Mus musculus: one gene and its partner. The protein of the gene in region 1 purifies or fractionates together with the protein of each later gene. This does not show direct contact. Links are inferred from orthologs where the notes say so. Each region holds a gene or a part of one and is shown on either strand. Other genes may lie near its edges. The genes, in order: Usp15 and Glul.

What was found.
Region 2: the proteins of Usp15 (region 1) and Glul purify together in Homo sapiens (affinity purification with mass spectrometry; 3 studies listed by BioGRID, with this or other methods). This does not show direct contact. The link is inferred for Mus musculus from reciprocal best matches to the Homo sapiens genes USP15 and GLUL.

The regions. Positions count from the first base shown.
Region 1 is NC_000076.6:123,194,220-123,210,022, forward strand, and holds the start of Usp15 (ubiquitin carboxyl-terminal hydrolase 15), read right to left. Parts: upstream 2,801-15,803; 5' UTR 2,697-2,800; coding exon 2,608-2,696; exon of another isoform or gene 1-2,607. UniProt on the Homo sapiens protein: Hydrolase that removes conjugated ubiquitin from target proteins and regulates various pathways such as the TGF-beta receptor signaling, NF-kappa-B and RNF41/NRDP1-PRKN pathways.
Region 2 is NC_000067.6:153,894,456-153,910,243, forward strand, and holds Glul (glutamine synthetase), read left to right. Parts: upstream 1-5,473; 5' UTR 5,474-5,604; intron 5,605-8,478; 5' UTR 8,479-8,491; coding exon 8,492-8,657; intron 8,658-10,081; coding exon 10,082-10,243; intron 10,244-11,893; coding exon 11,894-12,040; intron 12,041-12,564; coding exon 12,565-12,692; intron 12,693-12,830; coding exon 12,831-13,030; intron 13,031-13,408; coding exon 13,409-13,727; 3' UTR 13,728-15,268; downstream 15,269-15,788. UniProt on the Homo sapiens protein: Glutamine synthetase that catalyzes the ATP-dependent conversion of glutamate and ammonia to glutamine.

The DNA of each region.
Region 1 (15,803 bases):
AAATTTTCTAAATTCTAATTTAACTTTGCTTATGGTTTCCTCACTGTCTTGTCAGAACGGAAACAGACAAACAACTAGCATTGTGAGACTACCGATTTATTCCTTGTCAATGAGTGTCACCTTGCTAGCTCACCTGTCATAGGGAGAACTCTTGTACCACTGTTTACCTACTTCTTACTGCACGTCCAGTGCCAGTCGTACAGAATGCTCTCTTTATCTCAGCACAACTTGTGTACTCAAATCACCACCCATAAACAAATAAACAGAGATGGGTATTCATGAAGACCCAAATCAAATACAAATATCTGCCTAGGTAGTTGAGTTAGTTTGCAAAGTGCTCAGGAGCTAATGTGGTGAAATTTAACGCACCTCACTATAATTTCAAAACTCTGTACGAAGATTTCCAGATTATGGTAAGCCTATCTCTTTTTTTCTTAGTAGCAGAATCAGCATGAAGAACTGTATTAAAAGGCAGCATCATTAGGAATGTTGAGAACCACTGATTTACACAAAATAGAAAATTAACAAGGAGGTAAAACTTGCATATTTAGCTGCTGCCTAAAAACTGGACTTAAGTTCTTTCTTGAAATTAAGGCATTGTAACAACCCAAGTATAGACTTAACTTGTACATTTTGACGTGGTTTACGGTAACTGTCAAGAAAAATATACTCGCTTAAAAATAACCAACTTTAAAAGTAGTTTAATATCCACAATACAGGTATTTCTTAAATCATATATTACCATGAACACCAATTATACGTGATATTACTCAACAGAAAAACATTAGTGAGAAAACTATCCACATTCTAAAAAATATTTCTATTTTATCGGTAGTCATATTTATATTTGTATGATACAATAAATGAGTGAATTGGTTTTTAAAAAATGTTCTTCAATATACCAGAGAGAAGAAGCTTGAATTTATCTGTTAAGATCGCACAGGCCAAGGGGAGCATAGGTGTTCTAGGGAATGCCCGATTTCTTCTCAGCAATAAACTCCGTAAGAAAAACAAAAGCAGACTATAAGCAATAATGACTTAAGCCTCTGCAAGGCTGTAATGCAACAAGTGTGTTTTCCATCATCAAGGTTCTTAATTACACAAAGTGTTTGCCGTCTTACAAACTAAGGATCCAAGAACTTCAATTCAGGTCCCCCAGCTGTCGCCTATTAGCTAACTCGAAAATGATTCCAACCCCACAGCACTTGTCTGGAATTAATGGCAGAAATAAAAAAGATCACTAAAACTTAGTATTTCATGAATACCAGATAGTTCAGAATATTTAGCTGAATTAATATAGAGCAAACACAATAACATCGTTATTGCTCTTTGAACAGATGGAGATGCGGAGGCTCAATGGCTTGGATGAATTTGCTTCCAAGTCACACTGCAAAGTATGAGGTGGACCTGTGAATAAATCAGGTCTAAGTCTCTTTCCACCGCGCCACACTGGAGTGCCTAACAAGCACTTGAGAACTGTGAATAAATCAGGTCTTAAGTCTCTTTCCACTAGCCACACTGGAGTACCTAACAGGCACTTGAGACGCTATAAACCACTAGTACGGAGACAGAAGGAAGGAAAAGTAACTTAGGAAGAAAGAAAGAAAGAAAGAAAGAACGAAAGAACACACAGGCACACTGCCCTTCCCCTAAAACAGAACTTTCCCTTTATTTAAATAATTCTGTAAGTTAACTGCTTTGGCTGACGAGTGTTAAATTTTGTACATGCTTCCTCTAGTTATTTAGGTACAGTACCCTCTTATTTTGGCATTTTACAAGTTTGAATATGAGCAAGCCTTTAAGCTTCAAGTGGACTTATCTACTTTCTGCAGGCCTACGTTATCCTTCAAACCGGAGGGAAGGGCTGCACTTCCAAACAGAAGCGCTGCCGGCTCCTATCGAGCCAGGAGCAAAGCACAGGACCACGTGGTGCCTCTCTCTCTCTCTCTCTCTCTCTCTCTCTCTCTCTCTCTCTCTCTCTCTCTCTCAAGAAAAAAAAATTAAAAAAACAAGGTCCCTACACCGCTCCCTCCTTTTTGACAAGGAAGTGGAAATTAGGGGTTTCCTTTTCAGCGGAGCCCTGACACACACCACCTGTGTGGTCCCCGCCGCAAACATCCTGAAGCCCGGCTCCCGGAAGACTACAAGGATCGGAATAATGGGGAACTTGGGTGCGGACGACGCCGGGGAAGGAGTGACCAGAGAAGCGCGGCGGGCGAGCGAGGAGGAGCGGCGCGACCGGGATCTGTCAAAAAAAAAAAAAAAAAAAAAAAAAAAAAAAAAAAAACCAGCGGCAGGCAGGCTCACGCCGAGCCACTGCACCCGGGCTCCGCCAAGGCCCCAAGTGGGAGCGGCACTGCCGGAGGGAGGAGGACCCGGAGCCCCGCGAGCCCCGGCCGCCGCTTCCGCGCAGCCCCGGGCGCGCACCGCCCACCGCGAGCCCCGGCCCTCTGCGCCGGTCCAACCTTTGCCCCCAAAATCTGCTGCCTGAGCGGCCGCCGCCGGACCTGTCCGCACCTGTCACCAGCCGGCGACACCAGCCCACCGCTCCCGCCCAGCTCTCCGCCAGCCTCGGGCCCCCGCGGGCCCCGCGACCCCGTTCCCTACCAGGTGTCCCCTTTCCGGAGCGAGGTTTTGAGCAGCGTCGCGATGTCAGAACGCTGGGTGTCCAGGTCCGCCGCTCCGCCTTCCGCCATCTTCTTCCACTAGCCGTAGCGGAGGCGGCGGCGACGGCGGCGGCACGCCCCGGAGCATTGTGGGAATGGCGTCCCCGGCCCCGCCCCGCCGGCAGGTCTGTACCAAATGGGGCGCGAGGGCGGGGGTCTGGGGGCGTGGCTCGGCGGGGAGCGCGGCGGGTGCGCGCCTGCGCCCTGCTGCCCCCTCGGGTCCCCGCACGCCCCGCAGCACGGCGTGGTCGCCGCCGCCGCCCCAGACCTCTGAGTTTGCACGGTTCTCACCGGGTGCCGCGCTTTCTCTCCCTGCCTTTGCCCTGCCCTGCTCGGACTCTCCTTGCCATGCTGGCCCTTTTCTTGCCGCAGCCGCCTCCAAACCCATGTTTTTGCGGGTTCACTCCTACTGGAGGGCGGGGCCGGCTGGGACATGGCAGAAAGCGCGCAGTTCCGTGACTTGGGGCTTTTCCTTTCCAGCCGCAGAGCCCAAGCCCACTGAATATTGGCACAAAGAGGGCTCTGAAACCAAAGGTTTGGGCGCAGTGCCCTTCCTAGGTTCTTCCCAGCTCTCCCATGCTTGCTGTCTGTAGGGACTTCTACCTTTCATAAGCTCTTTGTGACGCCTCCTAGCGCGCGTGGACACACACACACACACACACACACACACACACACACACACACACGTTAGCTGCAGTGCAAAACATGTCCCAGTTTCTAGGTGAACAAGCAGTTAAAGATGTATTGAATAAGGCCAGGTACTGAAGGGGGTTAGAAACGTGGGAGAAACCTCATGGGCGTCAAATTAGCATTCCCCTAGATTAAATTTCATGGTTGTATATGCCTAAAGTTAGACTCGATAATACAAGCTGCATTTGAAGGCAACAATTACAAACGGGGAAATTGAGCCTCTTAAAAATCAAATGCCAAGGTCACACGGCAACTGGAAGTGCAAGGTTATCGCACAGATTTCAAATCCCCAGTACTCAGTACCTCCATGAAAGGCTGAATTAAGATACAAACTCCGTAAAAGCTGCAACTAAGTTCTCTTTATAATTTGGCGTGTGAGTGTGCGTGTGTGTGCGTGTGTGTGCGTGTGTGTGTGTGTGTGTGTGTGTGTGTGTGTGTGTGTGCACTGCGGTTTAATGGTCTAGTACCATTCTACACCATTTGAGGCAAACGTTTCAAAATTAACTAAGGCAAAACTGCTGTTTCTAAGAATGAAGACGGCTACCTCAGTAGAACAGTAGGTGACAAGTTAAAGGATGGGCAATGGTCTCTCCATTTTTTAAGCCTCCTAGTTTTGGTGGGAAACTCAGTAAGGAAGGGGGTGCCTGCATTAGTGAGGACTGCTGGCCCATCCAAGAGAAAGCAGTGTTTCCCTGGTTAGGGTTTGTCAGCTTGACAGAAACTAAAGTCACTTGGAAAGAGGGGAACCTTAATTATGGGATTGCCTCCCTTAGAGTAGCCTGTGATGAGTCAGTGGAGCATTTTCTTGTTTAACGATCGGTGTGGTAAACCCACTGTGGGCAGGTGGTCCTGAGTTGTGTAAGAAAACAAGCTGAGCAAGCCATAAAAAGCAGTGTCCGTCCACGTACTCTGCTCTGGGTTCCTGTTGAGCTCTGGCTGTGACCTTCCCCTAGCGTAAGCCACCCAGACCCTTTCTTTCCTAAGTTGCCTTTGGTCAGAATGCTTTGTTGCAGCAATAGAAAACAACTAGCACAACCGGTGTGTATTGGCGTCATACTTGAGTGAGTCAGTATGTGACTGCTTGTTTCTGCGCAGTACTCTCTTTGTATTACTTCAGCCTCAATGAGTCTAAAAGTCATTTCCATTTACGGCTATTTCTTATGTTATTTGACCACTCCTGATTATAAAACCGAGTTTTCCTAACTATGGACATTCTCAGTTGTTATATATCCACACCCCCCATCCCCATCTTCTACCACTCTGTGAAGGAAAGCAAAGTAAGTTTTCAAAGAGAGACAACTTGGTATGCAAAGAATATGCTGTATCCTCATACATACATGGCTTCGGATCTCTAGCTGCCAACACTTAATCTGTAGTCTATTTACAAATTTAAATAGTATAATATTTATCTTAAAGGATTTTAAAAGCATGCAGTGCATTTATTTTCTAGATGAGTTGAGTGTGTGCCTGTGACAGCCTACTGTGGAGATCACAAGTCAACGTTGCAGGCGTCAGCTCTCTCTACTATGAGGGTCTCAGGGGATCAGACTTGGGTAAGTCACAATTATGCCTGCTGAGCCAAATTGCCAACCTAGCCTTTTAACAGTTTTTGAACTTTACTTTATCTTATTTTTCAGAAAGGATCCCATGCGTCCCAGGTTGTCAGTGCAACAGAAGATGACTTTGAACTTATCTGATCTGTCTGCTTCCGCCTCCCCAGTTCTGGGATGTTTCTGCAGCACTGGGCATCAAGCCCAGGGTTTCGTGCTTGCTATGTAAGCACTCTTCTGCCTGAGTCCTATCTCTAGACCCCATTAAGGATTTTTTTTTCTAAAAAAAAAAAAATGAAGATTAAATGAAACAATATGAGTTTGTTGCCTGGAACTTAATAGCCAATCAACAAATGTTAGTAGGAAGAATTGGACTGATATCAGGATAAATTGTATAGTATGTGTGTTATATCTCAATAAAGCTATTCTTAACAAAGCATTCAGGACTTTAAAGGTAAAACTGTGTCATTTGTTATTTTATAAGCATAACAGATCCATGAAGTAATAAGGCCACTGCCCTCTCTTCTAGTTTCCCACCACACAGAACTGCCAAAGTCCGCGCAGAAAAACAAACAAACAAACAAAAAACCCACAGTCATCTTCAGCTACACTGTGTTCAAGAGGAGTCAGTTCACGTTATACGTCAGGCTGATGAGATCGTCTCTCCCGGGGAGACCTCGCTAGTTTGTATCACAGTCAATAAAGTGGTTACACACAGTGTTTCATTTACCAGGCACTCAAATACCAGGTGTTCCCTACTGCTCTCTGCCCCATTCCTTCGAGACAAGGTGTCTCTCTGAATCTAGAATGTACCTTGTTTCAGCTAGACTAAGCAGCCAGCACCTGCATCACACCCAGCCACAGAGATGTGACCGTGAATGAGGGATTACTACTGCTTATTCACAATCACTGTCTTCACGTTGCTTCCCCAAGTCGACCTTCTCCATTGGGATCTTCAGTTAGTTGTCGCTATCTTCTCTTTTTATTTCAGTGTGTGCGCGCCTGTCTGTGTGAGTGCGTGTGTGCACACAGAAGCCAGCAGAGAGTATCGGGATCTTCTAGCATTCTCCACCCATTTACTTATCTCTCCCTGAACTTGAGACGTGCATTTTCTTGGGTACGCTGGAAGCCATCGAGTCTCACTCACCCTCCTGTCCCTGCACCCCTTGGAGCAGGCATGCTGGGATGGAACAGGCATGTGCTGGCTGCACTGTGGTCCTCAGGTCCGCACAGCAAGCACCCCGTCTTGGTACTCTCTTAGACTTTCTGTACCGTTCTTGTTCATTAAGAACCCTAGGGATATGGGCAGGGAGAGGAGTACAGAGAGTCGGGTGCTTAAGAAGAAGGATTTACCGTGAGTAGAGCGGACCACATGGAAAATGTGCCAGTTTTGAAATTAGAGCTCTTCTAGGGAGGATTTTTTTTCTTCTTATCTTGTAATCGCTCTTTCTTCCACTCGGATTTGAACAGTCCCTTGTTCAACCTTGACAGATTACTGTACTGAACAATTGAGAGACAAAGCTTCATGTATAAGTGCTCCAGAAGAGAATAAGGCTTAAAACAAGGTGTCGGTTTAGCAAAACAAGAGAGGCAGGTTCTCCAGAACCTATGACCTTCTCTACCACAGGTTCTTAGCCAATTTTATCGTACTAGGAATGAGTTAAATGCTGTGGAGCAGATGTCAAATCTAATAAGAAAGTGCTTAGTTACTCCCTGGTTTAGCTTAGCCCAGGGAGTGGCACTATTTGAAGGGGTGGTCTTGTTGGGGTGGGTGTGGCCTTGTTGGGGTGGGTGTGGCCTTGTTGGGGTGGGTGTGGCCTTGTTGGAGTGGGTGTGGCCTTGTTGGAGTAGGTGTGGCCTTGTTGGAGTAGGTGTGCCACTGTGGGCCTAAGCTTTGAGACCCTCATCCTAGCTGCCTGGAAGCAGGTATTCTGCTAGCAGCCTTCAAATGGGGTCGTGTAACTCTCAGCTCCTCCAGCACCATACCAGCCTGGATGCTGCCATGCTCCTGCCTTGATAGTGCTTGCCCGAACCTCTCAGCTTGTGGGCCAGCTCCAATTAAACGTTGTCCTTGTAAGGGTCACGGTGTCTGGTCACAGCAGTAAAACCCTAACACTCCTACAGTTATCATGTTATTATTGCAGCAGTAGCTGCGTCTTGCCAGATAAGTAATTATTGTGGTTCCTGGGGTCCATAGCTGGGTAGGAACATTGGTGACTGACTACCATCCCCAAGCACCATGATAGCTACCCATCAGTGAGAAACTGCAGCACCGGTCCAGTGTGATTTCTCAGTGTCCAGTAACCCAAGTGTGTGGTCTTCAGCAATAGCGTCATTCAAACCAAGGGCCCTGGCATCAACCTGTAGTGTTGTGGTGACTTCTGGGGCTCTCTGACCAGACTGTATAGGGAGGTGTTCTACACCTAGTCCTGGAATTTTCATTTCATAACCTTTTAGAAAGTGTTATCCACGTATCCCTATGGAATTGTGAACGGAGAAAGAGTGTAAAATCAATGTCGTGTTTACTAATGAAACTGAATGGAAGTAAGAACAAGTGCTAACCAACCAGACAGCATACACTAGCTGATATGAGGCCCCTGACACACGTACAGCCTGTTCTGGCCTCAGTGAGAAAAAAACCACACCTAACCCTGGAGAAACTTAAGACCCAGGGAGTGGGGAGCAGGGGTGGGAGTAGGGGGAGTAAGGACATCCTCTTGAAGACTTGGGAAGGAATGAACGGGATGCGGAACAGACTGAGGGCGGACTGGGAGGGGGATAATGACTAGACGTAAAAAAAGATTGATTTAATAATAATAATAATAATAATAATAAAGAAAAAAAGAACAAATGCTAAGATTAGCTATGCCGGTTTTACAGTTTTGTAGCACTGGCTCGAAGAACCCAAGAGAACATCTACCTGAAGTCACGCGTTTCTCTTCTCGCTTCTTCCATGAGCTGTTCCCTCTTGTAACCCCGGCACCCACGCATTCTCATTCATCTTGTAAACCCCTATCCCCTGTTATATAATCTTGTAACTTCCCCTCTTCTCACCAGCTCCCCGAACAGCCAGGAGACGCCGAGAAGGCGGGGGAGTAGCGCAAACACAGAAATAGCGTGTAGTAAGTAAGATGCTTAATCTGCTAATGATATTTTGAAACTGGGAGTGTGAATAAAAACTGTAAGCACCACGACGCAGCTTTTAAAGCTTAAGAAATATCCTTGCTCCTCCGTCGAATGTTAGGCTCTGATAAAAAGAATGAAAAGGTAGTGACATGAACACAGTACCCCACGCCAGGCTACTTGGCTTTTGACGCTGGCTTGCTGCCACTAACATACCAAATATTTTTTTTGCCAAGTTATTTAATCTCTGTGAGCATTCATTTTTCTCGTTATACCAGAAGGTGATTAAAAGCATCGGCTTAGACACAAGTGCTTGCAGAGTTCAGATACTCCTAATGTCAATGGGTGAATGGGTGAGACAACTTCACTTTGAAGAAGTACGGAATGTGGGGACTCCACTGAGCTATGCGCCCCAGCTAAAGGTATTAAATAGAACCAGAACAAATAAATATCTCCTGCTCTATAAGATCTGAGAAGTTTAATTTTGACATGAGGGTAAGTCCTACAGATTAGTGTTGGCTGTTGCTTGTATCTGCTTTTCCCAAAACACACTTTGAAAGGTTATACTTTACCTAAAGGTAGGCAGCAGATGTCCTATACGTCTTGCTAAATGATGAGAAAATCAGGCTGATTTCAATCAATAAATTAGACCTAGTCTAACAGGTTTAAATCAATAGCAAAAGAATTTTGATTGAGATTATCGCCTCTGGGTTCTATAAATTTTAGGTGAAATATTTGCATATGGTGGGAAACTTTTCCAAAAAAAAAAAAAAGAAATAACTTAAACTATCTAACCAAGAGTGAAGTAAACAAAACTAAAGCTAGTATTAGAAAAAGAAAAATTTTTGTTTGTTTTTTTGTTTTTTGTTTGTTTGTTTTTTGAGATAGGGTTTCTCTGTGTAGCCCTGGTTGTCCTAGAACTCACTTCGTAGACCAGGCTGGCCTCGAACTCAGAAATCTGCCTGCCTCTGCCTCTGCCTCCCAAGTGCTGGGATTAAAGGTGTGTACCACCACGCCCGGCAAAAAGAAACCTTTTAATTAAAAAAAAAGTATTTATTTTATGTGTGAGTGTTCTGTCTCTGTGTATGTATACGTATGTGCACCATATACATGCCTGGTCCCTGCGAGGGTCAGAAGAGAGTGGGTGGGTGTCAGAACCTTTGGCACCGAAGTTATGAATGGCCATGTGAGTTACCATGTGGATGCTGGGACCTGAGCAGCAGGTGCTCTTAAGTACTGAACCACCTCTCCAACCTCTATTTTATATATTTTATTTGCTGCTTAACTTAATGGATAGACTTTAACGTTGTTAAGAATCACTTAAGAACGAATACTAACAAACAAAATACTAAACTAACAAACAGTTTAAGCAGCAGCCTCTGGGTCCTCTCCCAAGCCTCACTCACTCGCAGCAGACAGGACACAGAGAGCTGAGTGATTTAGAGGATGCTCACCTTGAGCTCTCACATGCTTTTACACTATGCATTTCATCATCTGTACTTCTATCACTTCCTCCAAGAGTCTCGCAACATCTCTGTGCCGGTGGGACTGTGAAACCCAGACTACCAAAGCGAAGTAGAGACGCTCATGGTGCACTGATTCACCAAACGTTCAGATTCCAGGGAGATCAGCATTGTCTCCTCCCGAGAAGAGACGGAATTATTCAGCTTTTCTGTTTGGACAGTCCTTCTCTTCATTTGGCCGGAGGATCGAAGAGATGTAAACTGCTTACAAAGGGCTTTAGACCGAATATAGCCGTAATCGTTAAAGAATATACGTGCTCCAATACCTATGGAACATAGAGAAGGCACTCTTCACAATACTGCCCTCCTGTTATCTGTCAGCAGCAGGGCACTTGTAAAAGTGACTTTATTCAGCTGGTATAACTGTCGTCTCTGAGGGTCACTGCCTCAGTCAGTTCACCTAGGTCTAGTCCTGGAAGCTTCTGGCCTCCATACAGTCTTACCTAGGCCTAGAATGTTTTCAGCCTCTAAGGCTTACTGCTGGATAAGCTCACCCTTTCTAGTTCTTTCTGAGCTCTAGCTGGCTGGTCAACCCAGCTGATCTGGCTCAAACTCCTCTCTGAGCTGAGTGATTCAACCTGGCTTCTCTCTCTCAGCTTCAGAATTGCTCTGCTTGGTCACAGACTAACTCTGGCAATCTGTCCTAATCTGACTCCTTCTCATTCTCTGGCTTGTTCTGTCTTCACCTGTGTCTAGCTTGTTCGCTCTTTCTGCAACCCGTCTCTATAACTGTTGCAATAAAACGTCTCCTTCCCCCTCTCTGCCCAGACCCTTAAGTTGCTCCCCTTTCCCCTCTCTTCTTGTGAGAGCTGGGCATATCCTATTCTGTCAAATCTTTCTCTCATTTGCCACTTTGTCTGCCACTCAGACATCACTGTCAAACATCGGCACTTCCTTCTATAAGTTAACTTTATCTTCATTGTTTGGGAATAAAGTTGTGTTCTAAGGACTAAGCCACACCACAACAGGAAACAGGTTTTCTCAGTAAACAACACAATCTTGGGGGGTCACAGTATGATATCATATCCTGTAACAGACACTACTGAACATGCAGCAGGCTTGGGTAAAGTTAGAAGACGCCAGTGGTGAAGAAAAGCAAGCTTGGTGATGTTATAAAAACATTTCTCATTGTTTCCTATGCTAGCCAGTATGCTTCTGCACAGGAACTCTTGGATTATGTTAATTATGTTTTTATAAACTTGTGATGGTCCAAGACTGCCACAGTCTGCTACTGGACCGAACTACAGAGAGATTCATGAGAAGGGCAAGAAATAATTGTATACTTCCATAGAAAATCCAACTTCCTTAATCATATACATCCCCCCTTCTATGTACTAGTTCTCTGATACTGGAAGATTTGGCTTCATTTCTTTTAAGTGAAGATAACTTCATACTTGTTCAAAAACTGAATTCAATCCTGAATATGAGGCTACTTGAGGGCCTCAGAATACGCGGTTGGACGGTTACTAATGTGAATGTTTAGACAAATTTATATTCATTAAGACCACAAAATTGTTATGTCATAGCAAACGGTTTAGTTAAAATCGAGGAGAAAAGTAATGGATCATATCAAAGACATCCAACTGCCGGGCGGTGGTGGCGCACGCCTTTAATCCCAGCACTTGGGAAGCAGAGGCAGGCAGATTTCTGAGTTCGAGGCCAGCCTGGTCTACAGAGAGAGTTCCAGGACAGCCAGGGCTACACAGAGAAATCCTGTCTTGTAAAACCAAAAAAAAAAAAAAAAAAAAAAAAAAAAAAAAGGACATCCAAATACTGAAAGTGTTAAAATGAATAGTAAGTATAACTTTACTCATTTTTTTTTTTTTTTTTTTGGTGAAGAATTTTTCTTGCTTTGCCTTGTTTTTGCTTTTATGAGATTATGAGACATGGTCTTGGTATCAGGCCAGCATGGCTGGAATGCACCCATGTAGCCTAGTCTAACCTGGCCTGTTGATCTGCCTTCCACTTATTGAGTGTTGGGATTAAAGCCTGAGCCACAATGTTAAATCTGTATGAAGAATTCTTATGGATAAAACAATGCACTTAGAAGCAGATAGTAGAAAAGATGATAAGGCATATACTATATGTTTATGAATATTCTCCAATTACATCATAGCATTACAGATAAAAGACATGATTTTACCTATGGATTGATAGCCGGGAAGGCAGAATAGTGACTCTGGATAGTGATCGCCATGTTCTAATCTCCGAATCAGTGAATGTGTTATAGTCATGGCTTAAAGGGACTTCGTAGATGAGGTTAAGGTTACAGACCTTGAAATGAGGAATTATTTAAGCGAGTCCAAGCTAACCACAAAAGTAAAAGAAATGTTTTTCCTGTGTTTATAAGGTGAGAAGACTACGGGGACCGAGCTTAGAAGACGGGATAAAGAGCCACGAGCTAGTAGTGGCGTGGATGCCTTTTGGAAGCTGGGCAAGGCCAGGAAATATGAGCTCCCTTCTAAATTCAGCAGCAAGGAGCATAGTGTCACCAACACTGTGAGTTTCGCTTCATTAGATTTGCATCAGAAGCCTAAGCCATGTGACAATGCTCTGCCACTCTCTCTAGTCACAAGGTGGCTGGTAGGTCATTATACAGCAGTAGAAAACTGATAGACAAATTGTAGAACAGAGTACCTCTAAGAAAGCCAAAACAAAGCAAAAACTAGTCAGGCCTGGAATTAGTCATTGTATCCACTTACTAAAAAGAAATGTGACTTATCATAGATTAAAAATAAGAAGAAATTGGATTGATATTCTCTGGGTTACAGGTTGGAAAAAAAAGTAGAAGGCATATCTGGTGAGCAATGAGCTCTGAAAGGACCATGTGCAGAGTTACAGGCACAGGCAAGACTTTGGTGATTATGGGATTATTTTAACTTTCAGAAGCAAAACCATCAAATTCCTAACATCAAATATTAGTAAGTGACACTTAACAAGGAACACCTAGAGCTTATAAATCATGCTGATTGCATTTCAGCTGGTCTGCAGAAGCCAAGAATAAGTAATGGTTGATAACCAAAGAGATTCTAGACAAGCTTCCACAGAACAATCGGTGATGCACCACGCACAAGAAATTCTACAAAGACTTCCAGTAGACCCTCGGAAGCAGTTCAAGGAAGTTAGGACAGTTGCCTCCTGAACCATATTAGGGTTCTCCAGGCAAAAAGAGTCAACAGGTCATAGGCACGGACAATATAGAGATGTAGAGAAAAGCATTTATTAGGAAAGATTGGTGACTAAGTCTGTATTCCGTGGTGGCGCACGCCTTTAATCCCAGCACTCGGGAGGCAAAGGCAGGTGGATCTCTGGGTCTGAGGCCAGCCTGGTCTACAGAGTGAGTTCCAGGACAGCCAAGGCTACACAGAGAAACAAACAAACAAACAAACAAAAAATTAAGTCTGTATTCTACCATCCCTAAACTGGAAATGAGAAAAGTGCAAGTTCTTTTCAAGTTCGCAGCCCCGAGAGCTGTAGAAACTAGTAATGTTAACTCCCAGTTTCAATCTGAAGGCTCAAGTACTTGAAGAACTAATCCTGGAAGGCAACAGAAGACTGACAGCCTATTCAAGCAGAGGGGCTTAGCACCTCCTCCACCTTTCTGTTCTTGTCCATCCCTTAGAGTTTTGGGTGGTGTCTGCCTTCATCAGTGAGTGTAATTTTGTTTTACTTGGCCTATAGATTCAAATGCTAATCTATCCTCGGAGCATCTGCAAAGACATACCTCACCTGCCATCTACAGTGCAGTCAATTAGCCCTTGAGTTGACCATCAGAGTCATGCATTACAGTCTGAGAAAACCGAGTCAGGTGACTTATGAGAGCAGAATCCATAAATACGCATAGACCAGGATATCACCGCCACGTAGAAAAAGGAGGCAACAGTACAGAGGAACGACAGGGCCAAGAAGTGGGAATGGGTGGGTGGGGGAGTGGGTGGGGGAGCGTGTGGGAGACTTTTGGGATAGCATTGGAAATGTAAATGAAATAAATACCCAATTAAAAAAAAAAAGAAAAAGGAGGCAAGAAATCGATGTACATTTTTTTTCAGTTTTTAAAAATTCTTTAATCCGTTTTTGCAGTCCAGTCTTCATCCCTTTCTCGCTCTACCCCCCAGACTGCTCCCCACCCCTACCTCCTCCCCCATCCCCCACCCCACCAACAGTATTATTTTGTCCTCTCTTCCTCTCCCCTTTGTTCCTCTCTTCAATCCTTTCTATCTCTAAAGGCGTTTGATAACAATTGTATAAGGACAGTGGTGAGTGTATATGGCTCCTTGGTGAGCCCTTGATTGAGTGACTCGGCAGGGAAGTTAACTCTAGGTCTACTGACTACTTAACGAGGTGATTGGAAAGGAGAATCAGACCAAAGTGTTGTCTGACACAAAGACCATCTCTAGATAGGGAGCTAACAGCATAGCCAAGTCACAATACCACCAAAGACCAGGTCAGGGAACAAATAACTGAACGGGACTTACGGAGCAGGGGTGAGAGGTTGCTCATAGGAACATGGGTGGCTCGGAGGCAGCTGCACCAGCATAGGCGCAATCTGGCATGGCTGACAGTGTGCGAAAGCTGAGACCCTGGAGCTCTCTGCACAGCACGCAGGCAACTCTACAAGGTGGGGCGCACCCTCACCTCAAGAGTCCGCACTGTTCATAAAACCTTGGCGGAGGAAAGACCTTGGGTATCTTGGTAAGTTTCAGCAAGCTCTTGAGACTTTGAGGTTGTTTACTTCCTGAATCTTGTACAACTTCTTGAGTTGTAATGAGCTTCCTCCAGGAGGAAAGATTTTGGTTCGGAGGAAATTGCTGTACAACGGAAGAAAAAAGAGCAACACCCAAATCCCTGTGTTTTAACCAAAGCAATGATGGGGTAATAATAACACCCTTTAGATGAGTGGTTCTCAACTTTCTTAACGCTGCGACCCTTTAATTCAGTTCCTCATGTTGTGCTCACCCCCAGCCATAAAATTATTTTCATCGCCACTTCATAACTGCGCTGGCTACTGTTATGAATTGTAATGCAAATGCCCGATATGCAGACTATTTGATATGCAATCTCCGTGAAAGGGTCGATCGACCCATAGGTTGAGAAACTCTGGTTTGGAGCGTAGTGTTGTATGTAGCGTTCTCCCTGCTTTTGAATGCCTCCTCTAAGTGGCGCAGTACAATGAGCTTCCCTAAGTCCTTGGCGAGAAAAAAAAAGCCGCTAAGTTTTTTTCATGAAGACAATCGAAGTGCAAACTTTAGACAGTTAAGAGAAGTGTCAACCGGCCAGACCTCCTCTCCCTCCCGCTCCCCCAAGCTCCCAGGGACTAAGCCACCAACCAAAGAGTACACATGGAGGGACTCTTGGCTCCGGCCAGCCACACATGTGGCAGAGGATGGCCTTGTTGGACATCAGCGGGAGGAGCTGCCCTTGGTCCTGTTGGGGTTCGATGCTCCAGTGTATGGGAATGCCAGGGCAGGAAGGCAGGAGTGGGTGGGTGGCTGGGGGAACACCCTTATAGATGCAGGAGGGAGGGGGGAACCTGGAAAGGGAATAACATTTGAAATGTAAATAAAGAAAATATTCAATAAGAGAGAGAAAAAAAGAGAGAGATCAAAAATAGACACCTCACAAATTTTCTACTGTTAACATGGTTCGCGGCTTGAAAACACTAATTTCCAGTTGTTAAAAGTTCTGAAAAAGAAACAAGAATTGGACTTGGTGGCTTGTAAGCTCTGCTCCAGGGAGGCAGAGCAGCACAAGGTTGAGGCCCTCTTTAGAAGTCTTCATAGGGAATTCCAGGCTGGCCTGCAAGGGTCTGTAGTGAGAGTCCGTTTCAAAATATCAGTGTTCCCACCCAGCGTTTTTTTTTTTTCTCACCCGCCTTTCAAACACAGAGTGGGCAGACAGCGAAAGGAGGGAACTTTGCTTCAAGGGAGTACAAATTCAAAAGGGGAAACAGAAACTCGGAGCCCTTCTGTGGTAATAGAGCGCCAACCAAGAGAAGTTGTGAGCTTTATAGCCCTGAGCAGGCTTTGGAGTACCTGGAGGGGCTTGGCAGTGCAGTGGGAAGGAGTCCCCCTGCCTGCTGCTTCCGGGGAGTCCTGGAGGCTGGAGCTGGGAGAGTCTTCCATAGTTCTCTTCCTCGAGGAGTCAGAAGCCTCAGGTGGCTTCTGATGCAACTCTCTGCATAAGTGTGGAGCTGGGCTCTGGTGAACGGGTGCAGACACAGATACAGTAAAATCAGTAAATAAAAACACATT
Region 2 (15,788 bases), on another chromosome or scaffold:
GAGTGAGTAATGTAACATAACATAACAATAGGAGTATCAGTCCCTCCCTAACTGCGATGGAGAAGGAAGTTATCCCCAAGATTAAACAAGGACTCAGGGGAAGAAGAGCAGAGGGAGAACGGGTGAGGCCAGCCAGAAATCCTGGTAGAGGAAGTGGCACAGTGTAAATACCCTAGACTCCCCTAAAGGACAAGCTTATGTGAGACTTTCTGCCCAACTCCCCTTCTCCTAAGAATAAAGTCTGGCGTACTCTCAACTCTTGGCTTGCCTTACGTTTCTGGGCTCAGACCCAAGTGAGGGCTGAGGATAAGGCTTGTTTATGATCAAACCTTTGAATCCATTTCCCCTTTATTCTTTGTCCCTAGACTTGTCTCAGTTGATTTTGCAGAGTCCTTTTTTTGTCCACCTTCCTTGCACACTGATGTGGGGTGAGAAGCAAGCAGAGTAGGCTGCCCATTTCTGGGCTTCTGAAGACTAATTTTATGACAAACTTCCAGTAATCAGGCAGTGATATGAATATAATATCTCTCAAACAGCCAGTGTAGGCGAAACACTTGGGTGCTATCAAATTATCATATGTAATATGTAACAGAGGCAAGAAAATCTTCAGACTCAAGCCTTCTGGGGCGATGTTTGAAATTCTCACAAGCCACCACTAGAGGGCACAATAGCACCATCAGTCAGTCCAAGCACCTCGGTCCCCAACCCCAGCATATATTAGTCTTTCAAAAACCAGTTTAAAAGAAGAAATGGGGGAGGAGAGAGAAAGCCCAGAAGCAGGCTAAATGTTGCCCAAGAATCCAAAATACATACCATAGGGCTGTGTGCTTCCAGTTAAAAATTGACAAATATGAGATAAACAGGGATCCAAACCAGCTAACGGGGTCAGGGGTGAGGGATAAAAGGCTCTGCGCAGGCCCAGCTGTGGACTCCTTTGAGAAAAGTAACCAACTGAAGAACTGTTTCAATTCAGTTTTTACACCACAGGCCAACTTTCCTAAACTTTCAAGTGGGCTTCAGTAAAGTTTAAACCATCTAGCAGCTATATAATGAACAAAAACAGAGCTGTATGTACTCTGGGAAATAAAGCAAAGTGTCTGGACCAGAAAGATGGTTCCGTGGGTTAAGGCATCAGCCACTGTGCAAACCTGACAGGTCTAGTCCTGGAATTCATGGTGGGAGGAGAGAACTGACTCCTGAAAGTTGTCCCCCGACTTCCACACAGGTGGTGTGGTGGTGGTGGTGGTGGCGGCACACGCCTTTAATCCCAGCACTCAGGAGGCAGAGGCAGGCAAAGGTCTGAGTTTGAGACCAGCCTGGTCTACAGAGCAAGTTCTAGGTCAGCCAGGGCTACATGGAGAAATCCCATTTCTGGAAATAAAAAAATAAAAAATAAATAAAACACAATAAAGGGTGGGCTGGGGATATAGCTCAGCAATAGATTGCTTGTCTAGCCTGTCCCAGAAACAAGTAGGAAAGACAGACATGGGGGTTGAACTCTAGAATTGTGATTGTGGCTTCCATAGTCTCAGTAGGACCCCTGCTTTCCCACGCTGTGACAGATGAACTTGGTTCTTCCCAAACCCTTCATGTGACTTCCTAGCAGAGGCAAGCTTTGAGATAGAGTCCAAACAGACCCAAACCTTCCACTAATATGCAGGTTGAGAAATGGGGTGCTCTCTCTCTCTGTGTCTTCACTGAACATTGGTCAAACTCAAATGAGGTGAAAGACAGTTGACATCCCAACTTTGAATTTCTTCTCTTAAACTGAAGAGTATCAAGTGATTAAGCTATGTAAAGAAAACTCCCTCTCGTGACCAGTCTTAGGTTATCGAATTCAAGGACAAGCTGGTCTTGCCTTCTTTCATTGTGCGGAGTGAAGTTTGAGAGGCGGACTTAATACAACTTTGCCCTGTAAATACACTTTACAGGGTCCAGGAATGCTACCGACTTCCAGTGATCTTTCTCCTTTTTGGGGGGTGGGTGGGTGCTTGTTTTAACATTTGTTATGCTCCATTCTTTTGGTCAGATCTAATTTGGGTTTATAAAGAACCAAACAAGTTACCTTCTGGGTTGGGTTTTTGGGTGACTGCAACTTGAGTCCACACTGTGTCTCTTCAGCTTAAAGTTTTCACAGACTGCCTGCTGACATCAGCCACACAGGCAGCCAACTCCACTCCCAGCAGCTACAGTCTACGATTTGGGTTCAGTGGAACCATATCCTAAACTTTGCATCACGGGTACAAGGTAATCACACAGCTGTCCTCTTATGACACTAGGTTAGGAGCTTTAGAGCTTCAGAGAAAGAATGTATAAGAACACAGGAAAGCCTACTCGAGCCATCAGTTTAGCCAGCCGAGCACCACTGATGGAACGTGCTTCGTTCTGGGCTATCTCTGCAAGTTTAGTCCAAGCTCTTTCCTGGCAATATTGCTCTCCCAATCCACCCACCCTGGGGACAGAGGAACTCAATTCAGTGAGAAACTCAACTTCAAAGCACTTGCCATCAGACCCCCATTAGCCTTGGTACTGTGTGGGCCTGGACTGAAAGTTCATGGGTTCAATCGCTTGCCGCCTTTACGGGGGGTGGGGGGGGGCAGAAAATGGAGGCGGTGGCAATTTAGGGGAGAATAAAGGACAGACATAGCAAAGTCAAAGTGGAGGAACAGGCTGTTCTTTTAATTTCTCTAAGAGTACAGGTGGCTTTTCAGAGGGCAAGCCAGTTAAGGAGGGACTCTTCTTCCATGGTACACTCAAAGCTCCCTAGTCCAGTCCTTGAACTTGTCTGGGTCCTACTTCGGCTGGTTTAAACACATGTGGGGCCGACCAAGGGGGCAAAGCTGCCTGTTTACCCCTGAAAGTCAGTGGTCACATGAGATGTTCCTGGTCACATGAAAGGATCAAAGCAAATCCGCTTCTATTCTTGGAAACAGAGCAAATGTTCTCTTGATGCTGCCGCTGATGGTACTGTGGGGTCAATACGTGTTTATTGAACAGTCTGGACACTATTCGAGGGCTACGGGAGAATAAGCAGCCAAGGAGGTTAACATGTCTAGGAAGGGAAGCGGGCACTCACATGGCAGAAACACAAGAAACCCATGGAAAACAGCACATGTGCTCTGGAATATTGCCCTTTCTATCGTGTTCACTGCTCCCATTGTGGAGCCTGGTGAGGAGTGCTGAAGGCTGCCCTGGCTGATGACCGGCAGCTGCCATCTGGAATTCACTATCTCCTAACATAAGAACAACATCTCTCCCTTCTGACAACCCCTTTTCTAACCACCTAAGCTGAAGAGTTAAAAGAAGAAATGGGAAGACAGCCGAGCCCATTGTTGCTGAGTCTACACCTTACTTCCTTAAGTAATGGCGCAGCTCACTACGGAGGCAGAAAGCTGCATCACCCGAGTGGGCAGGGGGTGGGGGGTGGGGGGGGGTGCAGTGCCAGTGCCACAGTGCCGTTGGTGGGTCCTCTCTTCAAAAGAATGAGGGTCCCGGAGTTCATCTCCAGCAACCATGTAAGAAGTCATCTGCAATGCAGGTAACTTCTTCAAGCTGTGCAGAGGCAGATCCAGAAAGATCCCTGGGAGTCACCGGGCAACCAAGTTAGTTAAGTTGCAGTTACAAGTTCAATGTCAGACCCTGTCTCAAAAAAAAAAAAAAAAAGTAGAGGGTGATAGAAGACACCTAAAGTCATCCTCTGACCTCTACACATATGGATGCAGTGTATAACACACACGTGCATGTGTGCATACATGCATGCACACACAGAGTAATCATGGAAAGAAACGACTCAGTCTCTTCAGATTATATTGACCTATGAGATGACATCGTCTTCCTAACACTCCTCATGTTCCAGGTCCCACTGTCATCCCCGCTACAAATGCTAAGACAGAGCTTGTGTGGCTACTAATTTGGCTACTACTCAGAATGAACTTGGGTTTGCCCGACGTGAAGCCCCGCTGTTGAACAACCTCATGGTAAAACGCTTCACACAGTACTGACTAGGACACAGAATTTGCAAGGTGCCTTTCTGGTCCAAAGCCTATTCAAATCCCCACCTGTGGGGCATGCTGCTTCTGTGAGCCACTGTGTCAGACACACTCAGGGGAAATTGACAGAGGTTGACCTAACAGGCCGAGCTATGTGTGTGGGGTCACAGGCAACCTTTCTTTTTCATATTTGTGGTGCATACACAGAAGCAGAAGCACAAACTTCATCCCTTCCTCTTCCAAAGGCACTGAGAGCGTGGGTTTCTGGCATCTAGAGAGAAAACTTCATCTCGAATGCCAGAAGTCCTGAAAGATAAAGCCCAGCCATGAGGTGGATTTCATGTACTAGAAAGAGACTGCTCAGAGCATAGCATTAATAACAATATATGGGCCACGTCTATTTTTTTACAGGTAAATTCTGTGCACATTTTCAGCTTGTCTCACTACAGTATTCACACACTATCTCAGCCATCACTGCAGGGTTAAGAAAGGAAAGAGAAAACTCTCATTCCCTCTCCCCCAACACACACACACAGTTAAAAACAACTTGGGAAGCAAAGCCAGGGGTTCCCCCCACCCCTCTTGCTTTTTTGTTTGTTTTCTCTGTGAAACCCTGGTTGTCCTGGAATTCCCTCTGTAGAGAAGACTGGCCTCGAACTCAGGAGACCCACCCGCCTCTGCCTCCTGAGTGCTAGGATTAAAGGCGTGTGCCACCCCCGCTTTCCCTCCTGAGTGCTAGGATTAAAGGCATGTTGCCACCCTGCTTTCCCGGTCAACTGCTCTGAAAGTCCTTCCATCTGCTTTATTTTGCAGATCCAAGGAAAGGCTGAGAGACGGGAACACACACACACAAGGCAACATCAAATAGACTATGGACGTCCAGAATCCTCTTTATAGAAACATCACACTTGTGTTTAAACCGTGAAATCACAGTCTGACCACTTCCCCCAAATCCACTCAGGAAACCAGGAAGATAGGGTCCTCCAGGTTCTGGGAATCGTGTTTCTCTCTCTCTCTCCCCGCGCCTGATCAGGGCTCCCTGCCTCTCCCCAGCCCAACCCGTCCCCAGGCTCGCTCAACAAACAAAGGGTAAAATTCTCTTCTGGGGTTCTGGATTTTCAGTGACAGATCTCCTCGAAAACCTCTGTACCGTTAAGGAAGCAAAGAGCCGAGGCCAAATGACTCTGAGGAAGCCTCAGCCTGGGTCCGAGGGTCCAGAGGTCGCTTAAGAACGCAAGCTGCAAATGCATCCTGCACCTTCGGCCCTGGCCCTCCTCCAGCCGCCGCTGCCTCCCCTCCCCCACTCCCCTTTCTCTTTCTTTCTTCTGGGTCTCGCTCGCCCCACCCTGAGGCTCCCGCACAGTTCCTCGGCCAATGGCCTCAGGGCCCCGGCGCGCAGCAGCTGATGGGCGCGGGTTTCCTGGCCTAGGTCAGCCAATCAAGGCGACTGGGGGCGGGCACAAGCTGTCAATAAAAAGTACCGAGCAGCCAGCGACCCTGCAGAGCGGAGAATGGGAGTAGAGCAGAGTGTCTGAACAGCACGCTCACCCATCTCCTCTCCGCCTCGCTCTCCTGACCTGTTCACCCATCCATCATCCGGCCGGCCACCGCTCTGGTAAGCGCACGGAGGGTCCAGGAATGTACGGCCGCCCGGGCTGTGGGGTCGCACTCTACTTCCCAGCTCCAGTCAGCTGCTGTACGGAGCGGGATGCAGCGCTCGTGCCTCCCGCGTGTTTGCAGCGTGCGGCCCGGGCCGGCTCTGCTTGGTGTTCCTAGGACGCGCTGTGAGCCAAGCTCCGGGAAGGGCGGGGTTGCGGGTTGTTTTGATCTGTTCTATACTTGCGGCCGGAGGCGCCGCCCCGGGAGGCAGGCGCCGTTGGCTGGGGTTCACGCTGAGATGGGGGCTTTCCGGTGGTCCCAGCGGGAGAGGGTTCTTGCCTTAGGTGGGCGCAGGCGCCTTGATCCTCTCTTCCTGGCGGCGCATTTGGGGGGCGTCGTCACGCTGTGGGTGGTCTGGTTGAGGATGGTGGTCCTAAGCGTTGATGGCACCACTCCCCAGCTCCCAACGCCGTGTCCTAGGCCTTTACCATATGACCGAACAATGGAGAGCCGGAGCCCCGGAGTGGCCGGCGGGCTCCGCAGTGGAGAGGCCGCGCCAAGCGGAGGCAGCAGCGGCGCGCTGTGCCTCCCGCGGTCGCCCCACTCTCGCCACCCGGCCTCTACCCTCGCCGGGGTATGGCCCCCTGGGAGAGGCCTTGAGATCTACGCGGGCCCGAGGGTCGCGGCACCGACTTTCCGGACATTTTAGTGGGAAGGCTGCTTTCAAAGTGGATTGCCCCAACTCCTCCGGGGGCGGGAAGCGGGGATCCTCCCCCAGCCGCAAATACTCAAAGAAACCAACCATTGAAGACGTAGAAGATGGAGATTCTCGGTCCTCAGAGTCCCCTTCTAATACTTTAGGCTTCGTTGCCTACTCTGTGAACTCCGGGGAGAAGTCGAGGGTTAAGATTAAATCGCACCCGTCTTATTCCAGCACCTCCCCCTCCGAACGGTCTGGGTCCCCCACTCCATCGCCCTCGCCCAAAAAGCTCCGTTGCTTAGACCAGCGAGAAATCGAGAACGAGGAGAGGCATGAACACTGCTCTAAAAAGAGGAGGTCTAGAGAGTACAACCCCAGTGCATTTGATTCTCATTGGCTGGGGTGAGTAAAAGTCAGGGCGAAGGACCCCGGGTGCATCTGGCAACCCGCAGAAACTACTCAGAATTTTAAGAACCCATTCCACTTTGCACTACAGGGACACCAGTTGGTGCTATCTATGTACACTAGGCTGCTGGCACCCAGCTGGTCTCAGGGAACCAGGGCCAGAGGAGGAACTCAGGTTCCCCTAACAGTTCATTAATGCTGGATGTGTGTGTGTGGGGGGCGGGGGGCACGGCAGAGGAGGAAAGCTGATGAGTGGTGTAAATTGAAGCCATCTAGAATTACAATCCGGGCCTCTAAGTGGTGTAGGCAGAGGCTTTGGTTCTGCATCGGACTTGACAGCAGAGGCTCATCTGTTCCCCGGGGGAAGGGTGAGGCTTTTGGAGGGAGAGGCAGTTGTTTTCACTTGGGCAAACATGGACGGTTGCCCATAGAAACTTTGCCACTGTACTTCAGAAAGTTGCCCAAGTCATTGGAGGAGAACAATATGTTCCCTCTCCAGCTATCCGGGGAGATTAGGGAGGGAGGGGGGCATTTCCTCTTGTGTTTTGAGGCTGGTTTTTTGTAGCCTCACATTCATCGAAGATCTTGCCCCGACTCCTGTGGCTTGTAAACTTAGAAGTGGGATTTTTCTACGTACCAGAAAATATTATCCGGTGGGATCGTCAAATACTGTTAATTTTCACATTGAAATCTGTCTCTGGAGTAAGGCTTTTCACCACAGTAATGAAGTCAGCAGTTGAGGCCTGGTGTGGAGGGGGCATACCTTTAATCCCAGCTCTCAGGAGGCAGAGACTGGTAGATCCTCTGATTTTGAGGAAAGCTTGGTGTAAATAATGAGTAAGTAATTACTAGGACAGAGAGAGGGCTTGTTGAGATTTCTCTGTCTCAAAAAAAAAAAAAAAAAACCAAAAAACCAGTCAGCAGTGTGCTCCTTGGAGTATGGCTTTACTTTTTACCACCTTAGTGGTGGCAGATAATACAGGTCCTTTCTTTCTCCCAGGAATATGTTAGCCTTTAAAGTCTTACAGCTAGCCCTAGTATTTCATTGTGTAATCTAAAGATGGTGGTGGCATACACCTTTAATTCTAGCGTTCAGGATGCTGAGAGGGGCAGATCTAATTTGATTCTGAGGCTAGCCTGGTCGGCATAAGTTCCAGGGCTCCACAATGAGACTTTGTCTCAAATAAGTAGATAGTCTAAATGTAGGTATGTAGGGATTACAATGGGTTGTGTGTCCCTTAAGGTTGTTCCAAGAGCTGAGCGGTGGTGGCACATGCCTTTATTTAATCCCAGCACTTGGGAGGCAGAGGCAGGTGGATTTCTGAGTTCAAGGCCAGCCTGGTCTACAAAGTGAGCTCCAGGACAACCAGGGCCATTCAGAGAAACCCTGTCTCCAAAAAAAAAAAAAAAGGCTGTTCCAAAGAGTGGAAGACAAAGCAAGACTCAACAGTCAATTAGTCAAGTCTTTCTGTGGCAATAAGGTAGTTCTGTTGGTAGAATAAGATATTCTGTTAATGAACGTCTTGATATTTGTTCTCTCCTGCTAACATTTCTCAAGTTTAACGGTTATTAAAATCCCTTAACTAGTCCCCCTGAGGGGGCATGGTCCTTGTCTAATATAAAACTTTAAACCCCTTGAAAGCAGAGTGAATAATGCACCTTTGTGTGTGTCCAGTCCCAGAGGAGCGAGATCACCACGCACGCCAGCCTGATTCCCTTGCCGTCCCCTACAGTGGATCCCTTTGAATTCGATATTAATAAAATGCGATTTCTGTCTCTCTCCAGAACACCTTCCACCATGGCCACCTCAGCAAGTTCCCACTTGAACAAAGGCATCAAGCAAATGTACATGTCCCTGCCCCAGGGTGAGAAAGTCCAAGCCATGTATATCTGGGTTGATGGTACCGGAGAAGGACTGCGCTGCAAGACCCGTACCCTGGACTGTGAGCCCAAGTGTGTGGAAGGTGAGTGCCGGGGCGGAGTGTGCGCACGCCTGGGAGTGTACGCACAGCCTCGGATCCACCTTCCTTCTGTTTGGTTTGCAAGGCTTTTCAGACCTTAGTCAGTCACCCGTAAGTAAGCTGCTGCATAGTCTGGAGGCGCAGCAACAATGGAAGCCTTTCTTTAGATGGACTCTGGCGTGTGCTGGTACATTGAAGAAAAATACTGGGTCACGTTTGTGGGGGATGGGAGGCTGCTGTGTGCTAACCTGGCCAACCCCAGGAACCTAGTTTGAGAGGACTGGTGTAACTGGAATATGCTATCTAGTTTATAGAACAGTCGGTCTCAACCCTTCCTAATGCTTCCACCATTTAATAAGGCTAGTGTTGTGGCAACCACCAACCATAAAATGGTTTTTGCCGCTACTTTATAATTGTATATACTTCTAAGTTTATTTTAGTTGTAGCCTGTGTTTCTCAGCATAGACCAAGTAAGCCATAGCTGCTCAGGAGAGGGGTGGCCCCCTCACCATCTACCTGGCTTAGGATGGGTTACTCTTCCAAGGATGTTTCTGTTTGAGTGAACGAGTGACCAGATAACAGAGCATGGATTGTATACTTGGTACTTGGCAGAGTGTGGGTAGGTTCTTCAGTCTCTGCTTTCTGAGAACTCAGAGGTAACTGGAGAGTCAAACCCGACCACTAAGACAGTAGGGAAAAGACCAAGCAAGCGGTGGGGAAGCAACTGTTTATATACAAGCATAACTTGAAGTACAACAGTTGGACCTGTGGGGAATGGGAGAAGGGAGATGATGATGGCCTAGAGGAGGAGGTGGGGTTTTTTTGTTTGTTTTGGGTTTTGTCCTGTGTGTGTCTGACACACTGGAAGTGATACCAGAGTACACAGGAGACTTGCACAGAGAGGACTGGTTTTCTGCTCAGGTGGCTCTTGGGATGCAGTGCTCTGGGGACTCTCAGGTCAGGAGAAACTGGGATAGGTGACAGCGATAGGTGACGTCAGGTTATCCCTGATGTAGATGCAGTCACATGCACCTCACTCCTCATAAAGACAAAGTGGTGGTGAGCAACGAAAGGATGAGTAAGAGGCTGACCGTCTTCTTAGCGTGTGCACTAAAAACTTTTAAAACTGTATGTATATGGGTGTGTATGTGCGCGCGCGCACGCGCGCTCCATGTGCTCAGTGCCAGCAGAAATCAAAGAGTGAGGACCGCAGGAACTGAAGTTACAGACAGTTGTGGGCTTTCATGTGATTGAGAGCTCTTGTTGCTCTCACCGATCTGGGTTCAGTTAACAACACCCACATAGTGGCTCACAACCATCTGTAACTCTCAATTCCGGGAGATCCAACCCTCCTCGTCTGGCTTCTTCCTGCAGGCTCAAATAACACGTTTAAAGTTAATTTAATTTTCTATCTTTGTCTTGCCCAGAGTTACCTGAGTGGAACTTTGATGGCTCTAGTACCTTTCAGTCTGAAGGCTCCAACAGCGACATGTACCTCCATCCTGTTGCCATGTTTCGAGACCCCTTCCGCAAAGACCCCAACAAGCTGGTGCTATGTGAAGTTTTCAAGTATAACCGGAAACCTGCAGGCAAGTATGGGATGGGTGTGGCTGGCTGTAAATCCTGAAACTCTAGGGAGGTGACATTCTCAATGAATTGAGAAGCCGCTCTCTAAGAACGTAGGGATGGCAGGGTGGCTATTCTACCCTGAACTTTCCTGTTGGGAACAGTGTGCTCAATCCTTTCTTCCATGGTTCCTTTTATTGTTTGTATAGTGTTGGCTCTTCTGTCTGTTTGCTGACGGGCAACCTCTACCTGCTGATCTAAAAGCCTGTGTTTAAAAGTTCTGTAGTTTTTGAATTTAAATACTAGATCTACCACTGTTCTACCTGCTTTTTTTTCTTCTGAATTGTGTGTGCTGTATGTGGAGAGCATGCGTCGGAGAGCATGCCTTGCTGGGTGCGTGGACGTCAACGGGCAGCGTTGGAGTTGGTTGTCTCCTGCCTGTTTATGTGAGCTCTGGAGGTGGAACTCAGGTTGCCAGGCTCGAGTGGCAACACCTTTACCCACTGAGCCGTCTCAGTAGTCTTCTCTGATAAGAGCCCATCCCGAAGTCATTGGAAGATCACATGAATGACCGTGTGCCACAATCACTTGGGAGTACTGCACGTTAACTATCGGTTACTATTTTATGCCAGACAGCTTGTTGAGTCTGAATACTCACAAGTATGAGCATCGAGACTTCGGGATGTGCATTTACCCTGCCTGCACATGCGTGGAGTTTAGTTTGCACTGTGCTATCCATCTCCGTTTTCAGATAGCTTTGAACCTGGGGAAGTCTCACTTCTGTGAAATATCTTCTAGCAATGCCAGTAAGGCTTGGTGGCCCTGGGCCTTCAGTGCTTCTGTTTCAAAAGGCAGTAGCATTATTGGTAAAAGGTGTGCTCTGTGCCTGTCCTGTCACCTGGGTGTGCCACCTAACACCCTCTCTTGGGGTTTCATTTTCTTATTTGTGAAAATGAAGGTTTTTTTGGTTTGTTTTTTTTTGTTTTTTTTTTTCCAAGACAGAGTTTCTCTGTGTAGCCCTGGCTGTCCTGGAACTCACTCTGTAGACCAGGCTGGCCTTGAACTCAGAAATCTGCCTGCCTCTGCCTCCCAAGTGCTGGGATCAAAGGTGTGCGCCACCATGCCCTGCCAAAATGAAGGTTGTTAATACCTTAGACTCAGATGGTTATTTTTTTTCTAGCTTGGGAATTGTTTTCAGCTATACTCATATATAATTATATGTCTGTATGTCTGTCTACCTATCTACTTTTGTACCAGTCATAACTGTAAAACTTAGCACTTAAACTCACCTGGCATGTGAACCTAATGGACAAATTATTCTCAATAACAGATCTGGCCTTCAGTGTCTGAGACACTAGGGAATACATCTGACAACTAGAAGCAGTTGTCCTGTGAATCTGAGAATGAGTGCCTGGCGTGTGGTGTTGGGATGGTGGCCAGCATGCAGATAGGGTGACCACTTGCTCGGATTCCATTCCCATGATGCTGCGTGGCTGACTTTAATTATAAAAAAGTCTATTAGCCATTTCCTGCAAATGGACAATTATCACTTCTTCCATTTTCCTTGGTGATAAAACATGGTGGTTAGGCCTGGGTCAGTCTCTCCTGTGACCAGCACTGGAGCTGTGTGAGAGGGCTCTAGTCCTGATGGCATGTTGATTCTTTATTTCTAGAGACCAACTTGAGGCACATCTGTAAACGGATAATGGACATGGTGAGCAACCAGCACCCCTGGTTTGGAATGGAGCAGGAATATACTCTTATGGGAACAGACGGCCACCCATTTGGTTGGCCTTCCAATGGCTTCCCTGGACCCCAAGGTACGTCCCACTGGGTAAAGGGTGAAACTTCCTCCCCTAAGTTGTTACTGTCCAGGAAATCCCCTTCCCCAGAGATAGGTGCAATCCTGAAATGAGAAAATGGAGACCAGCAGCAGAATCTTAACAGTAGACCGACCTTGCATCCCTCACATCCAGAGGTGGTTAGAATTTAAAGTGACAGAGAGTGGTGAGATGGCTCAGTGGTTACCCACCAGGCCTGACAACCTGAATCTCCTCCTGGGACCCATTTGGTAGAAGGCAAGAAATGACTCCCTCAAGTTAGCCTCTGACCATACTGTAAATATGCAAGTACACACAAAACTAATGAAAAGCCACTCAAAAAAAGCAAGCAGGGCCTCTACCGAGGCCGAGGCAAAGAAGGAATGACCTAAATTCTCCCGCCTGCAGCTGAAGGCAGGACTAGTGACTCAGGAAAGCAGGTTTAGGCCCTCCTAGTTTTGGGCTTTGGGGTTTCCTGGATTCCCTGACTGACTCTTCCCTGCTGTGTCTTGAACCTCCTTCAGGCCCGTATTACTGCGGTGTGGGAGCAGACAAGGCCTACGGCAGGGACATCGTGGAGGCTCACTACCGGGCCTGCTTGTATGCTGGAGTCAAGATTACGGGGACAAATGCGGAGGTTATGCCTGCCCAGGTAAATGGTGCCCATCTTTTTCCTCCTCTCTGAAGACCTGGGTAGGTAGGCACATGGGGACTTCGGGCTAGCAGGGGTGGATCACAAAGTGGGGCAATCACAGAGGGTGGATCTTAAAGGTCAACTTTTTCTCTCTAGTGGGAATTCCAGATAGGACCCTGTGAGGGGATCCGAATGGGAGATCATCTTTGGATAGCCCGTTTTATCTTGCATCGGGTGTGCGAAGACTTTGGGGTGATAGCAACCTTTGACCCCAAGCCCATTCCAGGGAACTGGAATGGTGCAGGCTGCCATACCAACTTCAGCACCAAGGCCATGCGGGAGGAGAATGGTCTGAAGTAAGTACCTTCCTTTGGAGCCGTCTGTATTCTCATGGGGTAGAAGGGCTTTGGGTACTCACAAGGCTGTACGTACATGCCTAGCTCTGCATATTTGTTCTAAGCCTGTCAGTTTGTGCCTGTTGGAGAGGCGATAGGGTAAATACTTTAGGAATAGAATTGACAGAAAAGCATTCGAACTAAGTAAAAATACAAGCAAATGGGAAACTTAATTCTTACTGGTGGGAAGAGGCGAGTGATTGGGGGTCTTTCCATCCAGTGGATAATTTGCACTGCATGTTAAAGACTGGCCTGAGGGAGACAGTGCCTTCTTTCTTCTGGGATTCATGCCCGCTCCCATCCTTGTCGATGGACCCTCATCTTCACTGTTTCCACTAGGTGCATTGAGGAGGCCATTGACAAACTGAGCAAGAGGCACCAGTACCACATTCGCGCCTACGATCCCAAGGGGGGCCTGGACAACGCCCGGCGTCTGACTGGATTCCACGAAACCTCCAACATCAACGACTTTTCTGCCGGTGTTGCCAACCGCGGTGCCAGTATCCGCATTCCCCGGACTGTCGGCCAGGAGAAGAAGGGCTACTTTGAAGACCGTCGGCCTTCTGCCAATTGTGACCCCTATGCGGTGACAGAAGCCATCGTCCGCACGTGTCTCCTCAACGAAACAGGCGACGAACCCTTCCAATACAAGAACTAAGTGGACTAGACTTCCAGTGATCCCTCTCCCAGCTCTTCCCTTTCCCAGTTGTCCCCACTGTAACTCAAAAGGATGGAATACCAAGGTCTTTTTATTCCTCGTGCCCAGTTAATCTTGCTTTTGTTGGTCAGAATAGAGGGGTCAGGTTCTTAATCTCTACACACCAACCCTTTCTTTCCTATCTAGCTTTCTAGTAGGGAGCGGGAGGGGGGAGGGGAAGGGTAACCCACTGCTTCATCTCATCGGGTATGCATGTCCGGTAGGCATAGCTGTCACAAAGCGGGTGTACTTATGGTGAAAGAGGACATTTTTTTTTTCTTCAGGATAGTTGAAAGGGCAGGCCCAACGGCTGAGATTGACATTTCCACTGTTGGTAGAGAGCTGTTATTTCTAAAGGGGAAACCAGCTTTCTGTTCCAAATGGAAGTTAGGTGAGGAGTTGAAGGTTGGTTTCTTGCGCTGTGCTTCCTTGGCTTGGGGGAGGGGGCATCCGTCCCCCTCTGTGTGAACACAGCTCACCGCGTCACCTGATGGATGGCCCTACTGTGAAGGAAGAAAAAAGTTGGCATTTCTTGGTCCTCCGTTCATAACACAAAGCAGAGTAGTATTTTTATATTTAAATGTTAAAAACAAAAAAGTTATATATATATGGATGTGTGGATGTATGTCTTTCTAATTGAGAGAACCATCCTATTCACTGGGTGCCAAGTTTGAGTGATGAGGGGCTTGGCTTAGAAGTGAGGCTCCCTTGAGGTAGGGGTGAGGATGCAGTACCGGGAAAGTTGGTTATCTTGGGGTCTCAGCTTCATTACTGCTTAGGGTTTCCCTGCCCACTCTGCAGGAGCAGATGTTGGACAGGTAGCCAGTGGGATGCCACTGCTTGCCACCACCTGTCCCCAGGCTTAGGTTTAGGGGATGCGTATACTTACTCCACACACGAGTTAGAAGTATGAGTTGGCTGGTCAACTTGAACACTGTTACTGATGGGTGGGTGGGTGGGGGTTTACTGGGGTTATTTTTTTGGTGGGATTAGCATGTCACTAAAGCGGGCCTTTTGATATATTAAGTTTTTTAAAAGCAAAACAAGTTTAGATTTTAATCAGATTTGTAGGGTTTCTAACTTTACAGAATTGCCTGTTTGTTTCAATGTCTCCCTCCACTTGGCTCTTAGGGGAATTAAGGACAGGCCTAGAGTTAAAACACTTGTCTCCTAGTGTCACCTCTGCCAGCAGACTGTTACTTTCCTTCTGAAAAAGCCAATAGTCTTTTTTTTTTTCTTTTATAGTAAACACACCCCCACCTCCATCCCAGCCTGTTGCCCTTCAGTTTTCTGGTTGTTTGTGTCGGCAGCGGGCCAACTGTGGTTTCTCTCTTGCCATGATGACTTCTAATTGCCATGTATAGTATGTTCGGTTAGATAACTCACTGTAAACAGACTGTAACTGCCAGGCAGCGCTTATAAATCAACCTAACATTTATAAGATTTCCTCTGACTTGTTTCTTTGTGGTTCCCAAAAAAAAAAAAAAAACCTCAAAAATTAAGTGCTATTTCATTCCTTCTTTCTCTATCAAAAGAAAGGGAAGGGGGGTGGTTCTTGTTTACGGACAAAATGTGCTTATCTGTACTTATGCTTTTAAGATGAAGTCACGTTGACGAGATATTTTGAGACGGGGTCCTAGTGTCCGGCCTTTAACTTGAAAGTTCTTGCTCCAGAGTAGGCAATTCCCAGTTTCATGTTAGGTCTTACATTTTGAAAGCAGTGTTGTCTAACAGTTCAGACTCAAGGATCATGCTATCAAGTGACACAAAATAAGACACAGATACTTTAAGGTCTTGCGTTGGGCCTGGCCACTTTCACGGCTGCCCTCAGCTCTGGGTGACTAGGCTGCTAGAATTTCCTGGCAAATGGGAACCTCTGTTTCACTTCCGGTGCCAGGGCTTGGTTTATCGAACACTGACAGTCCTGGCTTATCAGGATATTTAATACAGCGTGGTACAGTGTATTAGCTGCCCCTGTTCTTGAGTTCTTCCTCGGTCCAGCTGCTGGGAGCTATCTACACA